Styela clava: one gene and its partner. The main gene of each other region encodes a partner of the protein of the gene in region 2 in a complex. Links are inferred from orthologs where the notes say so. Each region holds a gene or a part of one and is shown on either strand. Other genes may lie near its edges. The genes, in order: xenotropic and polytropic retrovirus receptor 1 homolog and kinase D-interacting substrate of 220 kDa-like.

What was found.
Region 1: the proteins of kinase D-interacting substrate of 220 kDa-like (region 2) and xenotropic and polytropic retrovirus receptor 1 homolog are in contact, whole or in part, in a cryo-EM structure (PDB 9JXQ), measured with the Homo sapiens proteins. The link is inferred for Styela clava from reciprocal best matches to the Homo sapiens genes KIDINS220 and XPR1. Residues at the interface, in NP_065789.1 of Homo sapiens: Glu36, Cys37, Gln39, Asp70, Trp72, Met102, Trp105, Trp110, Tyr113, Lys114, Val138, Ile142, Trp143, Gly146, Arg147, Ser166, Asp167, Lys168, Tyr169, Gly170, Trp176, Arg179, Lys180, Gln198, Glu199, Gly200, Ala201, Ser203, Lys234, Arg267; in NP_004727.2 of Homo sapiens: Leu95, Lys189, Lys190, Gln193, Glu197, Ala200, Asn204, Glu205, Ala636, Asp637, Asp638, Leu641, Leu642, Gln644, Met645, Met646, Asp647, Gln648, Asp649, Asp650, Val652, Arg653, Asn654, Arg655.

The regions. Positions count from the first base shown.
Region 1 is NC_135252.1:4,384,100-4,392,807, reverse strand, and holds the start of xenotropic and polytropic retrovirus receptor 1 homolog, read right to left. Parts: upstream 3,757-8,708; 5' UTR 3,641-3,756; intron 3,451-3,640; 5' UTR 3,412-3,450; coding exon 1,297-3,411; 3' UTR 1-1,296. Other genes in the region: transcription initiation factor TFIID subunit 10-like, read left to right, coding at 5,606-5,725, 6,313-6,377, 6,467-6,589, 6,653-6,734; phosphatidylserine synthase 2-like, read right to left, coding at 8,351-8,543. UniProt on the Homo sapiens protein: Inorganic ion transporter that mediates phosphate ion export across plasma membrane.
Region 2 is NC_135250.1:11,590,674-11,599,039, reverse strand, and holds the start of kinase D-interacting substrate of 220 kDa-like, read right to left. Parts: upstream 3,252-8,366; 5' UTR 3,171-3,251; coding exon 3,036-3,170; intron 310-3,035; coding exon 112-309; intron 1-111. UniProt on the Homo sapiens protein: Promotes a prolonged MAP-kinase signaling by neurotrophins through activation of a Rap1-dependent mechanism. Provides a docking site for the CRKL-C3G complex, resulting in Rap1-dependent sustained ERK activation.

The DNA of each region.
Region 1 (8,708 bases), on a different chromosome or scaffold from region 2:
TAGAGAAATTTAACATAAATTATTAAAAATAGGTGCATGTGCATGACGCATACAGGGAAATGAACAATAGGATGAATAAAAGTGCTTATTCATTGAAATTGAAAAGTAATTATTGGGGATTCATTTATTGACATCCAGCCAATGCTCAGCAAATAGGTACAACAGGAATGGGCCCACAATCTTAGTAATTCAAGGAAACACAAAAATGATATTGAATTTAATGGCTATAAATAATAAAGGCATCACATTGTTTGTGTTTATTTCACAGCACAGAAAGTCATAGCTGTAGGCAGTATAGCAATAGGTTATAAAACAATAAAACAAATTTACAAGGCAACAACACAAGTAACAATTCCAAGCAATTGAAAGGTATACAACAAATTTTTTCCAAGTGAGGCTTTTTATTTTAAATATGGAAAACAACATTTTTTGGCTCAACGCTCAAGTATTCATTATTAATATTATACAGTTTCAGAACAACTATCATTCCATCATATTCCATGTTTACTTCAATTCAAACTCTTGCCATTCTTAATAATAATAAAACATAGGTTTCACATAATGACTGATATTATAGTAAATCCATAAGGCTGCAATACAAGTCTGAACAGTAGGTCATGTAAGAATAGTGAATTTATTACTCTAAGCAAGTGCCCTTTTCTCAATTAATTCAATTTCAGGTGAGAGTCCCCTCATGAATAAAATATATATGCACAGGTATCGAATTTGCAAATAGCTTCCAACAGTGTCCATGAAATACCATAAAAAAAAAAACAAATACGGAATTGACAAATACATTCAAAATACAAATAAGATGGTAGAAAAGAATGTTTCATAATTCAAGCGTGGTGAATTTTTGTCTTACACTCTTACTGTACAATATTTGGTTATAGCAACAGTAAAATCTTGGATTTCATGTTCTTAAATATTTTGGAACTTTGGATGGTTTGCTTAGAAGAATAAAAATTAGTGACTGAAAGACTCTCACAATGAATCAATGCAAATGAGAAGCAAAATCATTACTACTAAACTATGGAAACAGATGTATCACAAAATTGTCTGACATTTTTTGGTTTCCAAATTTTAGCCATGACATCCAATTTTCACCGTTTTGATTATCTCGATGACTTTATACGGTAATTCACAATATTTACTACATAAAGATGTATTTTTTCAGATGTATTCTCAATCTGGCAAGGTTTCAAACATAAATAATACAGCACTATGATTAGCACCATTATATAAAGTTTACCTATTAGATGACAAAAAATGATCGATAAGAGAATAATATTTCAATCAAATAGCACTTGTACTTGTTCCTTCCTCGTCAGAGCCCCCACTGCCGACATACAACATAACACCAGAAGAAGCATTATGACGAATAGATGATCCTACTTTGCGAGATAAATTTGATCCTAGTGATTTCCCCCCAGAACCACCTTCCCGCACTCTTCTTCTATAATCCTCCACACCATTTTCGTCATCCATCATACGCATTAATGTCGCAAGATCATCTTCTCGTAGTGGTGCAACTGAAATATCCCGAACTGCTCGAAACTCACCACAGTTATTTAAATGTTCGTTCTCAAGTCGAAAAAAATTCCAAATAAAACGTCGAAAAACTTCCAATATAACAAAAACAGTTTTTAATATCCCATTAGAAACAGTTGATTTTAAAGTATGGGTGATTGCAACACTTATTACCCAAGAAAATCTTAAAATAAAATCTTCAACAATAGCAAAATAGTAATACGCTTTATAGGAATAAACAATCTCTTCACGTAGCCATTTATTTTCACCAGCATTTTTGTCTAAAAATCCCCAGTCCATTTTTATGTCCCAAGCTAGCGTATAACAGCTGCTTATAAACAAGCTAGCTAACCACAAATAAAAATATACACTGTTTAGTTCACCTGTATGGTCAAAATGCAACACGAACAATGCATTGAATAGCACTTTGAAAAAAACTGTTGAGTACTTGCCAGCATTTACAAAATGAGGGAACCATTTTCTGCTGTCATAAAAACGTCTGAGGCATTGAATAAAACGTATCCATGCTGGGTAGCATGCAAGAACTGCACGTAGACCATATGAATATGAAGCACATGTTCTTAAATTTTTTTCGCCTCTCCATCCATCCCATATATTTCCATCAAAGCCATAGAAGCATACAACGAATTCAAAGTCAATATATAATGAGACAAGACTGTTCAATTGATCTGCCAGCCAGAAATCAGCAAATTCAACGTGATAAAACCCACAAGCAAACAGTCGCCACATTCGACATAAAAGCCAAAACCTGGCCTTATGGTACAGAATAGGTAAGGGATTCAGTAGAAAGATTAAATAAGTCGCGTACAATAATCCAGGATTGAGATAAACAGGAAAATGATCCGAGAGAGGTTCTAAATTGCCAAATATCAAAAATATACCACTGATGGCCCAAAGAATCCCTGCTAATGCAGCTAGCTCAAACAAATGGTAATGTGACAAATGATTTCGAGGATCTATTTCAAATATAAGCACGTGATTCACTCCAGCAGATCGCCATCCCCATGTGTTAATCCCAATGAAGAATAAAAACAAGAAGAGTACTAATCCAGGCCGATAAAGGTCCAATGCCAGCCATGGATCCACTTTTACTTCCAATATTATTGCAGATATTATTCCCACAACAAATATCATGCACAATATACCTAAGAAGAGGCCTACTCGAAAGACCGTCCATCTTGGATACATTTCAAACTCACTCAGTGGTGGCACACGTAATCTTTTCATTGCCTTGGAACGATCCCCTCCCTCCAAATCATTTATGTATTTTGTCTCTGTTTTTAAAATTAATTGTGAGTTATGTGTATCTGTATAAAAAGGGGCTGTTTCCACATATTTTTGACGCCATTTGCACCCTTTATCAGTTTCAAGCATTTTATCATGCTTTTTGAGAATTTTACGAAAACCAGTGAAGTTTAATTCTTGGTAATTTTGTAGGAGGATAAGACTCAAATAGAATTCAGAAAAAGCCAATTTGAGATCTTTCACAGTTTTGACTTGGACATTTTTTCTTGTGGGTATTAGAAATTCACTTTTTCTTCTTTGTCGCACAGGCCCCTTTTTCAAAAGGGATGCTTTTTGTGCTTGGAGTTCGCTTTGAAGTGTTGCAAACTTTCTGGTTGATTCAGCCAGCTTCTCAGCATAAAATGTATTAACTTTAGTTAATTCCTTGTCACAAATAGCAAAGAATTTTTCTTCGAATCGTGCATAGTATCGCTGTACTGTTGCTTCTTCTGTGATTTCAGCATCAGGACTTTCTTCTCTACAGTCATAGAGTAAAGTTTTCAGAAATTCATAATCTATGTATTGACTCCTCCATTCAGGAGTCAAATGAGCTTGTAAATTCTCACCAAACTTCATTATTATAATATTAGTTCAACAAACACACTCTTTAGATATCTGAAAATAAATAGAAGATTTGATTCTAGCACTTTTACTTACATTAGACATATTAAGATCACATGTTGAAGCAAGATTGGATAAATATACAGACATAGGACAGTTTTTATGGAAAATCTTAGCGATATAAAAAGTAAACCAAAATGATTCATATGACTGGAGGCCGAAGAGCTTAAACTTTGATTCTTACCTAAATCAATATCTGGATAAGAATACCGGTACCATCCTTGACAGTAGTGTAACTGAGATATCCAATTTAAATTACTTCTGTATGTATCTTAATTAGTCTCGTAAAAGCAATATAAAAGAATTAGTAATTATAAATACTGAAGACGGGATGTATGCTGGACCATACTGGCCCAAAACACAAATGTGCGGCATACACCCCATTTGATAGGTATAAATTATAATATGGTAAATCAAATACGTATAATATGGTCCTTATACAGACAGTTGTGCAAGGAGGGTGAGTGGGTGTAATAACAGAGATAAGGATGGAGAATACAAAACTGTTTGTACAAAGGAGTTTGTAAGACAAAACAACATCTATAAATAGAAACACAACATGAAACACACTGCATGTAAATATAGTAATAAAAGAATTTGGATGTAAGTACAACACCACTGAGTGATGATACCACATACTATAAATCGGGGGAATGGTCAAGTTTAAAGAGTGTGCACATATATGGTATGCACCACTCAAGGGTGATAGTGTTATAAGTGGTCTATGACTGTTCTGGCAAAAATGTGACCCTACAAGTTATTGTGAAATGTGATTATGTTATGTATCAAATTACTCACTCTTCTAAGGTTTTTCCAATTCTGGATTCAGCCAAAACTGCAAAAGCAATGCAGTTTCAAAAAAAAAATTAATTAAAAGCATTTCCACAAAACTTATTATGGTTGCAATTCAGCCAGAAGTTTATAATGGTATAAAAGGACAGTGTGATAGGGTATAATAAGTGTTAAAGAGAAGCCATTTTACCATGTCATGGATTTTTCAAAGTAAATTAAAGTAATAGAACAATATGGTATCCTGGGATGAACTGGAGGAATTGAAAACCACTAGCCATTGTTTGAATTATACCGACCAATAAAACGAATACGGTAAGTTCTATACAAGATTACTGAATCACTTGGAATCTACGGTACGGTATCCGATCTCTGGATCTATTGAAATGTCTACAGATTTTTCTTCAGGTTAACATATTGCCAGTATTGAGCTTTACAATATTTACAAAATGCGTACATATATACTAGATAATTCTACAACATCACATAATTTCCTGTCTACCCCATGTACTTCGTCAATACCGGTAGTAGCTAGGTTTTCATTAAACTGTACTGGTACAATTATGGCTAAATAAAGACAGGGAACTGTTATTAAAAAGCGTTATCGCCTCTCGCTATGTCACGCCACTGCGCGTATGGCGCCACTAGGTCGTGGCTTCACTTTGTCTGTGTATCCTATCTTTGCAACAAAAATTAGATTAAGATCGAGAATCTATGTGTTTATTAAAAAAAAAGTTATGCCACAATTTTCAAAACTGCATAAATTGCCGGCTGTTGGGGCCTGCACAAGGGAGAGAGAGAGATATTTATTATTTTGTCAACCAAAAAACAAAACAGTCACCAATACGAAAAAAAATACGTAACACAAATAAAATTGCTTTGGTATTGACCAAAGCAACTATAATAGTCTCTTTATAGTCATTTTGGTACTGACGGGAGGGAGCGATACGACCATGGTCGGAATGGTCAATCGAGGTCAACTCCCAACCTATTTGCTGATGAGATTAAGGTTCACATTGAAGATGACTATTAGAAAAGTTGGTCTGTCAATAAATACTTACAAAAATTCGATTTAATCTCAGAAAACTAGGTTGGAGCATTTTTCCTATGAATACAGTTTTGATGTATTTGAGGTTGGGTTACAGGTTTAAATAGATATAATTCCGCATGATAAACTAATATCTGGTACATGACTTTGTGAATACTGAATAGCGCCATAAAACCATGGCAAGAGACGCCGCGGTTCGTTCGAGGCAGGAGCTGCCATGAAGTGGTACCGTACCGGTAGTTCTACAGAGAAGTACCATACCTGTACCCTTTCTTTTACCTGGCTCGGACGTTTACAGGTCTCTGATTGAAAATGAATGGCGTTAACAGAGATTCACATAGTAGAGTTGAGCAGGACATTGATGAATCTGAACAATTAACCTCCGAAGAAATGTCAGATTTCCTTTCTCAGATTGAAGAGTTCACACCCACTGTAAGTTCAGGAAGTTGTAACTTACAGACTTAACATGTTGTTTTTATAAATCCTGACTGAAGTCAGTAAATACTGCTGTACTGGGAATTATTCAACAACTCTGAATTTTTTGTACTATAATGAATAATTTAAGTACCAATATCTTTGTGATACAGTGATAATATAATATCAAAACGATTATAAATTTTGACTTTTGCTATTCCAGTAAATAGTTTTAATTTTCGTCTATGCAGTATATTTTTCATTTTTAGTTTGGGGTCCAATACCTTGCCTTAGGCAAATTTGTGTGGGGAAGGATGGGATTTACATATTTATCCATGGGGAGAGAAAAGTCGATAAGACGGCTTAATCATATGGCGAACCACTGCCTCTTGCAGTCTTGTCTGGTTACCATTCCATGTCAGGTATGGGATTAGTTATTTGTTTTTGGAAGCATGGAAGTATTGCAAAAAATAGTAGTAGTCCACACATCTAACGGCTCAAATAATCTGTAAAAAATATACCTATCAATCATTATACGTATTGGTGTTTAAGTTTACAAATCTGTGAATCAAGTTACATTCAAAGATATTACTCTGATTGAACAGATTCCAGACTCCGTTGCTGCACACTATTTGAGCAAATCTGGTGTTGATACTACGGACGGAAGAATGTAAGTATTATTTATCGGTAAATGTGTATGCAGGTTTTAAATATGATGCTCCTGTTTCGTATTTTAACGTTGTAATTTTCACATTATAGAGTTCGAATCCTAGCACTGGCTGCTCAAAAATTCATGTCTGATATAATCAACGATGCTCTTCAGACTAGCAAGCTAAAGGGATCATCTCAACAGTCAAGATCTAGTAAAGCAAAAGAGAAAAAGTAAGTTTTATACGGATAGTCGGTTTACCATCTACACAAATTTAATATGTCTTCTTTTTAAAGATATGTGTTGACTTTGGACGATCTTGCACCAGCACTTTCAGAATATGGTATCAATGTAAAGAAGCCTCCGTACTATACATGATTATCAATAAATGGAAGAACGCTCTGGACTGGGATGCCACAAAAAAAATGCTTAAGCATTGTGTCTTGATATGAATGGTGTTCACTACCTTATCAAATTTGATTGACGCTGGAAGGCCGAGCATCATAGATTGTTCAAAGTGCTTGTAAAGCATCTATACCAGGCCCTGGGTGATAGTACCTTAGACAAGTATTCTCTTAATTTTTATTTTTTTCAATGTGTTGTATTTTGTGATGTCAAATGTTTATTGTTATAAGTAATTTCCCTTTTTATTTATTATTTGGGAAAATATTAGCATGAGCGTACTACTCAATGCTTCAGTAAATAAATCAGTCTGAACTTCATGTTTTCTACTGCAATTCATTAGGCTTTTAAAAGCAGTGACTTTCCAGGCTTGTTAGCATAGAGATCCACAAGTTATGGCAGTGATTCTCAAACTTTTTTTGCTCGCGGCACACTCAGCAAATAAAAAAAAATTTGCGGCACACTTGTAAAAAATTGCTTTAAACCAATTCATTCTGCAAATGTTAATACAGTGCGTGTGCCTGTTTTGGGGAAAACTAAGATTTAAGATTTAAAACAAAGTTTCGTTGCTGCCAACCGTAACCACATTTCGTTGTCAATTACAAGAAACAAAGCCATGAAGATTCAAATAGCACGATTATTTCGATGGCCTCCACACTGACAAATGAATAGGATTTGTAAGCAGGTAGCCTAACTAAGCGAGCAAGTCGTCAACATTTTGGAAGTCCACAAATACATTATAACGATCCAATACCATTTTAACGACCCCTCTCACTACATCAACAAGGCAAATGCAATACAAATTATCTAAATGGATAGTGCGGGCCCAACGAGTCTCCCAAGCTTGTCCGTTGTCTGCATGACTATGTGTAATACAAATGGCTCGATATCTAAAATTCCAAAAAGCTCAGCGGCACACAGTTTGAGAAACACTGAGTTATGGAATAGTTGTTGAATTTATCAGATTTGGAGATTGAGTGGTCAGCTGCCAAGCCATACACTCACAGATAACGACGGTACCGTACTTTGACATCTAGAATTCCTGATCTTTTGAATAGATTTGGTTGTCACTCGGCATCCTACTATGATTTATTTATGCTTTTTTTTACTTGATAAATAATAAAACTTGACTATGACTTATCTTTGTACATATGAATACCCAGGTTATCAAACCTCTTAATTTCTCGGGTATTTGTTTCTAATAGTAGTATACAAGGATCTGAGAAGTGAGTTCCAAATGACAGAGGTTCTCATATGAATTCTGCTGACGAGAGGACAAAACTAAGTAAGAGCATCTAGACAATTAAGTGTGACGCGCTAGTCTTTAATCAAGTCATTGTACCATAATGATTCAGAATATAGACATATTTGCAAGGGTTAGGAGTCAAAAACCAGAAACTCATTGCATAGCATTTATTATGCAGCAAATACTTGAGGTAATTAGCAAATTACATTCTGAATCTATCTATTTCTCTCTCAGAGTTGGTGGATAGCGTATGATCCAAAAGTTTAGTAATTTTTCAATGATGGGCAAAGTTTGTCAAGATATGGTGGACCAAATGAATACAAAAGGTGTAAAAAAAGATGTCGATTCAATCTTGAATTGCATGATGTGTTCCATTGGAGTGAATATCTCTTCGTCGAACATGTTTTGCCTTTCTGTTGTTATCTAATAAACTTGTTGAGTCAAAGCCCACTTCCTCATTGCTGGTGGATTCTCCTGCATCACAGTCTACAATGGCCTTTGAAGTAGTTTCTTTGACCATTGCTTTAAACCTCGGAAACCTGTTAAAAATATATGAACTGCTTTATCAGTTGATGTCACTTATATACAAATAGGTAATTTTGTATAAAATATTCTGGTTTATCTTTGGAGAGATGGACTGAGTATAGGAGAAAAAGGAGGGATGCACTGTCCGGTGGTAGGGTTGCAAAATTGAATATGAAGAA
Region 2 (8,366 bases):
ATTCATGAAAAATGATTTATTATAAAACTAAAGTAATATTTTAAATCAAAAATAATCTGCCACAAACACTTTAAAAAAGTGTTCATCTAAAATCAAACTGTATCAACTCACATTGTCCGTTACATGCACATCAGCATTATCTTTCAATAATAACTGCACACATGCCAAAGATCCACTTCTACTTGCAGCAATTAATGGAGTTGTTCCTTCCTGATCTTTTGCTTCTGTATTAGCTTCAGAAGAAATAAAAATTGTTGCAACTTCTGGTCTTCCTAATTCACACGCAACATGTAAAGCAGTTTGCTGAAACTGAATTAGGCATGAGATATTATTAAGTGACCAGAATACAATAACACCTACCGTATATTAGGGATGCGACAAAATTCGGGCTTGTGCTCGGATTCGTGACCGAATCTCTTGTAATTTGATACTCGGATTCGGACCGAGCCCTTGATGATTTTATCCGAGTCCGGCACATCATACGTCAATCGCAGACTGATGGCGTATTCAACGAGAAATTCAATTTTTCGCTCTTTTCTGCCACGCAAAGTGCATATTCACGACGCCGTAAGGCGTTTAAGAACAAAACAGTCTGCTGAATAAATTCCAGAGTTGCGTGTAGCTCGCCTCCCCTTGCCAGACGACGTTTGGTGAATGTTAGGCACGTCCTATTTTTAAGCATATATTTGCTAATCCTTGAACAGTAACTAATCCGTAATCTGCGGTAACCGTGTCACCCTGTTCGCTTTTTATGGTTCCATAAATGAGCTAGCTATTTCCAGAGAGAAACAAATGTCAGAAATGTTAGAAATAAGCGATAAAAATAGTGAAAATTAATTCTGAGAGAAAGGTATAACTCTCAGATGTCAGTGGCTTTACAATCGTATATATGCAAAAAACGAGCTCACAAGTAGAATTGATTAAATGTGCATAAAATGTGAAACTATTACTCGTGGTAATTTAATGTTAATCGGGCTGAATTTTCATTGTTATTCAATAAATATTTACATCCAAGACATCATGCGTCAATCGCAGACTGATAACGCATTCAACGAGAAATTCAACTTTTTCTTTCTGTTTTACCACGCAAAGTGCATATTCACGACGCCCTAAGGTGTTTAAAAACAAAAAAATGTCAGTGAAAGTCTTCTGAATAAATTCCAGAGTTGCGTGTAGCTCACCTACCCTTGCCAGTCGTCGTTTGGTGAATGTTTGGCACGCCCTATCTCAAGCATATTTTTGCTAATCCTCAAACAGTAACTAATCCGTAATCAGCGGTAAACATGTCACGCTGTTCGCTTTTTATTGGTCAATAAATGAACAACAAATGTGAGAAATATAACGATAAAATTGTAAAACTAATTTTGAGAAAAAAGTATAACTCACAGATGTCAGTGGCGTTACATTCGTATATACGCAGGGTTACCATGACATGCTAAGCTTATTTCTAAGATTTGTGCTATTTTCTAGCCCGCGTCTTATAAAGTAATAAAGTAATAATGTGCTTATTTCTAAGAAAAGTGCTAATTTTTGAGTTGCGCGCTTATTTTGTCTTAGGGAGCATGGATGACTCGTTCATGTTTTGCGTACAAAACTTCCGCGGAAAAGATGTTGGGACGTTTATCATTATTCACGCTTCGTTTTGTTATTATTGTGACGGAAGGGTTTGCGGTATTTCCAGGCAGCAATATCAACCTAGAGGCTATGGAGAAAACATCAATTAATGTCCACAATACTACCACAAGGATTGCATTGTGGGAAACCAAAGTATGAAAACTTTAGAGGTTGCGAATGGCTGTGACTTCGTGTCTTCCACGGCTTTTTGCGGTTTCGGGTCTGCACACAACCTTGTCTGAAGCGACTTATAATAAAAATAAAAATTTAGAAGTGCGAAAAAGGCTAGTGTATGATTTCTTTGTCATTTTTATTCTATGTTTCTGCCGTTGTTACGTACCCCCCAAAAAATAAAAATTTCAACACCCGTGATTATTTTTGGCATTGGGTAGATGGTAACCCTGTGCACAAAAAAGCTCGCAAGTCGCATCGAATAAATGTGCATGAAACGTGATATTATTACTCGTGGTAATTTAATGTTTATCGAGCTGAATTTTTATTATTTTTGTTACTCAATAAATATTTACATATGCGGCGATCAGTGACAGGTAAAATCTAATTTTTCCTGGTCGAATAATTCAAATATTCCTTTTTATTTACTGATAATAAGAAATTACTTTTTCAGTTCTTAATTTGATCACAATCGCGAATTGTTTTTTTTGTGTCACCACGATCGTTTCGGCGACCGACATCATAATTATTGTTGGTAAACTATATTTCAAAGTACTAGTATTAGTTCTCACGCAACGGCGGACAACGAAGTTTGATTTTTATATTTCAGGCAGAAATATATCGGGATCATTACGACCAGAAACGAGAGAAGTAGCTTGCTTGATTTCGGGTGATCGTCTGTGCGTTTTGGTCGACAAAACGTATACTTTGACAGGCCTTATTTCGTCACTGTGACGTTATAGTGATGTAATTTATGGATGGCATAGTCAGGTGGGGGTTAGAAATGACATATGCGAAAATGGCTACGCCACGTCAACTAGAAGTAGCCTACTTGATGGCATTTAGTGAACTAGCCTCGATAGTTTGATTTGAGAAATTCATAATATTATACACAAATCAAAAATGGAGAATTCTGGAGTGAGAGTAAAACCTTTAAAAAATTTAAAACATGAAAAATGTCATGTGATGCTCACCGGCACAAACACAAAAAAAATTACAAAGGACACGAACCTAGTTAAACAAGGCTTGTGCCAGAAATAAAATTATACGAATGTATTGAACTTTTGGCTGTTATACTTTTAAAACTTCTGAATATGGCAACAAACCAGAGGATATAATCCAACTCATGTAATATTAAAATGGCATAGGTCAGTATGGGTATCATTGTTTACCTCTCTCATAGAATAAATATGAAAACCTAGCATATCATAACAACACAAGGTAAATATGCAAATGCAAAAATGACTAACCTGATTTCGTTGATCCACTGGGATGTTTTTAAGTGCATTTTCCACTTCAGTTGTTGTTCCATTGGATACAATATCATGCAATAACAAAGGTTCCAAAAATTGTAACTCGACAACTTTTCCCCGATCTTGGGTCATTTCTGTCCCGGTACTTAAGTATAAAGCTTGATATTACTTAGGGGGAATGACTAAAAGTAGGCACTTCAATAAAGAATGATTGACGTTAGATTAATTATTACAGTATTAGTTATAACGCCAATATCGAATTGCAGTATCGGTCTATTTTAGCATTTTCTACAGTTCTAATACAGTAATAGTCATAAATACAAGTTATGATAAACAAAACAGCTGCTGAAAGTATCGAGAAGATTCTTTTGGATATATTTCACTATTGGTCTGCGCCAAGATCTGAAGATACAGAGACAATGTAGATAAGATAAGTCCATTTCGACTCCATAATCACCATAAAAGGTGATTGATCAATTGATAAAAATAAATAAATAAAAACTGATTATGAAATTAGGAGAGCAAACAAAACCTTGGATAAGGGTACAGAATATAAGATGAAAGGTTTTGCGAAAAAGAAGTCGTACATGTTCACTTACCCAAAATTATTGAATCAATTCACACACACACGCACAACCATGGGGGTAAAATAAAGTTAGAAAAATGAGCTTTAGATAAATTTAAATGACACAAACAAACGAAAAGATAAATAAATGAAAAAGAAATTAAAATAAAAAATAAGAATTGTAATTAAAAATAAGAATCATTTGCCACACCATTTTAATAATTTTATAAAAGTTCTCAAATTGAATACAGATTATGTAAACAAGAGTGAACAGTATTCATTATGGACATAAAGCAGTAAAGACATAAAAAAAGATTTCACCAAGCTCATTAAAGTTGGGAGCCAAATTGCCCAACCAAAGTTGGGAGTCAAATTGCCCAACCAAAGTTGGGTGCATGACTGCATAAAGAGGTGGGTTAACCGCATGTTATCTTCTTTTGCTACATGACAAATAGTAAGAACTCATTTGTCTTGAATTATCACATACCGTACCTAATTCCATCAGCATTGGGGTGATACAGTGATAGGCTAGTCACATCAACAACAGGACAGAGTCTAACCAAATAAACTATAACCTGACCTGATGTCTGACAATCTTGCAATCTGACATTACGAATCTACCCTACAGCCATGTTTCTTTCAAGAACTGAAGAATACCGGTAATACCGGTACAGGTCTCAGGTCTGCAGGTCAATCAATTAATCAAATTGTTTTATTAGGTGACAGTACATTTGAACCCATGTACATTTGAACCCATGCGTATATCTACGGGTTCAATCTATATGCGGGTGCTAAAACCCATGGGTTAGGGTTAGTATCGGTTTAACTATCCGAGAAACAAAAAAAATTCCATAGGTGCAATAGCATACAGGTGCAATTGTCATGGGTTCAAATGTAATGGAACCGTTTTATTAGGATAGGATAGGATTTACATATTTATCCCGGGGGAGAGGAAAGCCGATAAGACGGCTTATCCATATGGCGAACCACGGCCTCTCGTCCTGTTACCATTCCAAGTCGGGTATGGGATTAGTTATATTGTTTGTTTTCGGAAGCATGGACTTGGTACTAGACTTATTAGCTGTTCAGGAAAGTCACAATAAAATGTAAGCAAATAAATTCACGAAATATTCATATTATTCCGGGCTTTGCCCGGAATTATCATGATATCCGTGACTATTCGGTGTAGTGTACTTGGGGTAGCGGATATAGGGTACCGGTACCTTATTTACGCCCAGCTGCGTGAATAAAACTTAGGATACAAAATTACCAGAAACGCTTTTGTGCGAGAACATCATGGCCTCAAGATGGCGCTAAAAGGCAATAATCATCTTGTTATTATTTTTGGGATTTTTAGCTTGATGTTTTTAAAAGAGAATTCAAGGGAAAAGCTGTTATGTATTAATTATGGAGTCGAAATAAACTTATACTTATACTTTAGAACTTTGTGTACACATAATAGATAAAATAGTGTAATATTAAAGAGGTACCAGTACTCATACTGGTAGCTGAAGATAGAAGGCGTTAGTAGTAGAAGTAACAGAATGAACGGTAATGCAGTAATGGTATGTATTCTCATTTATTCTACCTATTATGGTGCGTGACAATTTGAAATAGTCTCAGATAGGGCTGGGCATTTTCGAAACGAAATTTTGCCTTTGAAACGAAACACACGTTTGTCATAAACAGTAAAATATGATACCATTATTACCCATCGAATTTAATGTATAATGACATATATTTTCCACAATTAAATCCACAAAAGGATATCACTGGATGCTAATTCGAGAGGATAAAACGATAATGATAATTCCACGAATGTTTCTGCTCAATGACAAAGCAGCGGCCAAATGGCGCCAGGATAATACGAATTACGTCATTGTTAGAGATGGGGCTCACAAGCAGCAGAGCATGGGGCCTCTCAACATCTCAATGCGGCCCTGCCCTCATCTAATGTAATGGGTGGGGTCATTTTCTAATTTATCCGATGCCACAAATTCTTGTGATCCAGTGTGGTAATTATACTAGGGAGAGCCATAACCGAGTACCTGACTATTTCAAATACATTCTGGAAAAAGATATTTTTGAATCTTCCGAATTCCGAATACATTCTAAACTCCAGGAACATAGGAATTGGTCTTTTATTAAAATTAGTTATTTTTTTTCCTCTAAGGAAATGGACTTGGTAAACATTACAGTATTTATGAATTATGGTGTATCGTGGCAAGCACAGAAAAAAGAACAACTAGGTGGAATGTTTAAATTATACAGTAAAATCAACAATAACTCGGATTTTTGATACGCCTAATTTTCGTTGTGACCCTGACTGTTTATTATCGTCAGCGTTACATCGACATCGTTGAGCTAAATTTGATTTGATTTTAGATTTATTGCGCAGTTACCCAGAGTGTCCCAGACTATCTCAACTATGTTAAAATATACCATAATAATTGTAAAATATTTTTAATTAAAAACTTCCTCGACGTGTTATAAATTTTCAATCAAAACGTGGACGGCGGCGCTAGGACGTTTGCGCGATATTTAATATTTTTATAAACACTAAAAACGATATTTGAGAGTCACGATATTCGAATAAATTTTGATATCAAATTCGAATTGGACATCCCTGAATGATACCTTGACTAATTTCAGGTTGCATTTGCTATGACGTCATAATATCCGTTTCGAAGGTCGAAACGCCGCCGTTTCGACATATCAGTGTTTCGAAACGCCCAGCCCTAGTCTCAGACAATCATGGTAAATGAAATAATTGTTAAGTCAAGTTTGCAGTACATCATGTTTTTTAATGTTAATCGATATTGATCTTTCTCCCAATGTTTTCGATGTCTTTAAAGTAGGAACGTGAATTCCAATCCACTCAACGTTGTTATAGTGAAGTCCTATTTGCACCCGCATCCGTCTTGAAGAATTATGCGCAATCTCCCAGCTTCTAGTAACTGCACAACAAAAGTAAAAAGGCAACGAGATCCTCAGAAAACGAACTGTATTCATCGATCTCCACATATAAGTAAAATGTTGCTACAGCACAGAAACTTGAAGACCAACGATAAAACTAATTTATAACGACACGGATGCACTATTATAAATAAACAATGAAAGAATGATAAAATAACAATTACAATAACAAGCAATATTAGCCAATACTAAATAGGGCCTAACTAAGCCAACTTAATATGACAGATTTCACGAAGCCCGCACCCCTAATATAAACTGTATCCAAGGCAAATCTCAATATTAAACGACACTTTCGCAATCCCACAGTGTCGTATAGAACAAAGTATCAGAAAAGGGCATTATATCAAAACCCGGGGAAAAGTTTCGCTTCCTATGTCTTTACTATGGCGCAATAATGAGTCACTGTCAACAGGAAATCAAGATAATAAAGATATACCATGATTTGTCTGGGATTGTTAAGATAATAGAGAAATATAAATGGGCAAAAGTGTGAGGCATGCAAGCCAAATCTAACAATGTTCTCGAAACGGCATATTATATTTCAGTGCAACCTAAATAATGGCTCAATTTTATTCAGCTCAAATTAAATGTTATTTTGACGTTGAGTGCCTTTTACTATCGTCAGCACAATTCTTCCATACTCCCGCATATAAATCACAAAAGTCGTGCGTTCGGTAGGTAGAAGGCTTAGAGCAGTGTTTCCCAACCCGAGTCCGCGGTCTCAAATGCTACAGGGGTGGTGACTCCTCTACGACCCATGGGCCGGGGCCACAGCCCATCTAATTGGGCCACATGGGCCGTGGCCCATCAAGCTATGGGCCGCGGCCTCGTCAGGAAAAATTCAATTATCTAATTCAACCAAAAAATAAACTCCTGTAGTATGTGTACCAGGTTAGGGTTAGGGCAAAATTTTGTTCAGATTTCTTACATTATAGTTCTATTATGAGTTTGGGGACTGTCTGTGTTAGCCAAGTGTAAAGGAACTAACTTAATGGGCCGCGGCCCATGGGCCGAAGAGGAGTCACCACTTCCACTCCTCAAATGAGCTGCAGAAAGTTCGAATGAGTCCGCATCGACCAAATTATAAAGTTATGTAGTAGTATATTTAATGTAGGTCACTAACCTTTTCAGTGTCGCAAAATTCATTGCGGGGCGAAAACGTTTTTACCAGACTCAAGTACCAGCCAAGTTACGATTTAAGTAACATAAAAGGCAAGGAGGGCTGGGCAAAATATTCGAACAGCAAACTATTGCAATACCTGGTAACATGTGACTTGGACACAACGGGTCAATCGCGCTGAATCAAACGATTAAATTGCACAACGGACTCGCAGATTTCTGACAAAAACACGAGTTAAACGTACTTTTCGCTTCCGTTAAGATTGAGTGTTGTATATGTGTTTTTTATCTATTTGTTTCCCGTAACACCATTGCTACATTTTTAAATGATCTTATTGTGCGCCAATATCGCATGAATTTCACATCTTTTCAGTGGGCTATTTGGTAAAATTCGATTCACCAATACAAATAACAAAAATGTAACATTTACATTTCAAAATTTTCCGAGCGGATATAATAATTTGAATATGAAATACCATTAGATGAGTTCTATCAGATTTCAATGGATACACAGTAACAACATTTCGGAGGATTTGTTTCGAGACAAAAAAACATAGACTCGATAGAAAAATACAGACAAAAAATGACAGCGAATTCAGGAACCAGCCATAAAGATATTGTTAATTTTTTAATTTTACGAAGGCGATCGATAAGGACAAAAATCAGAT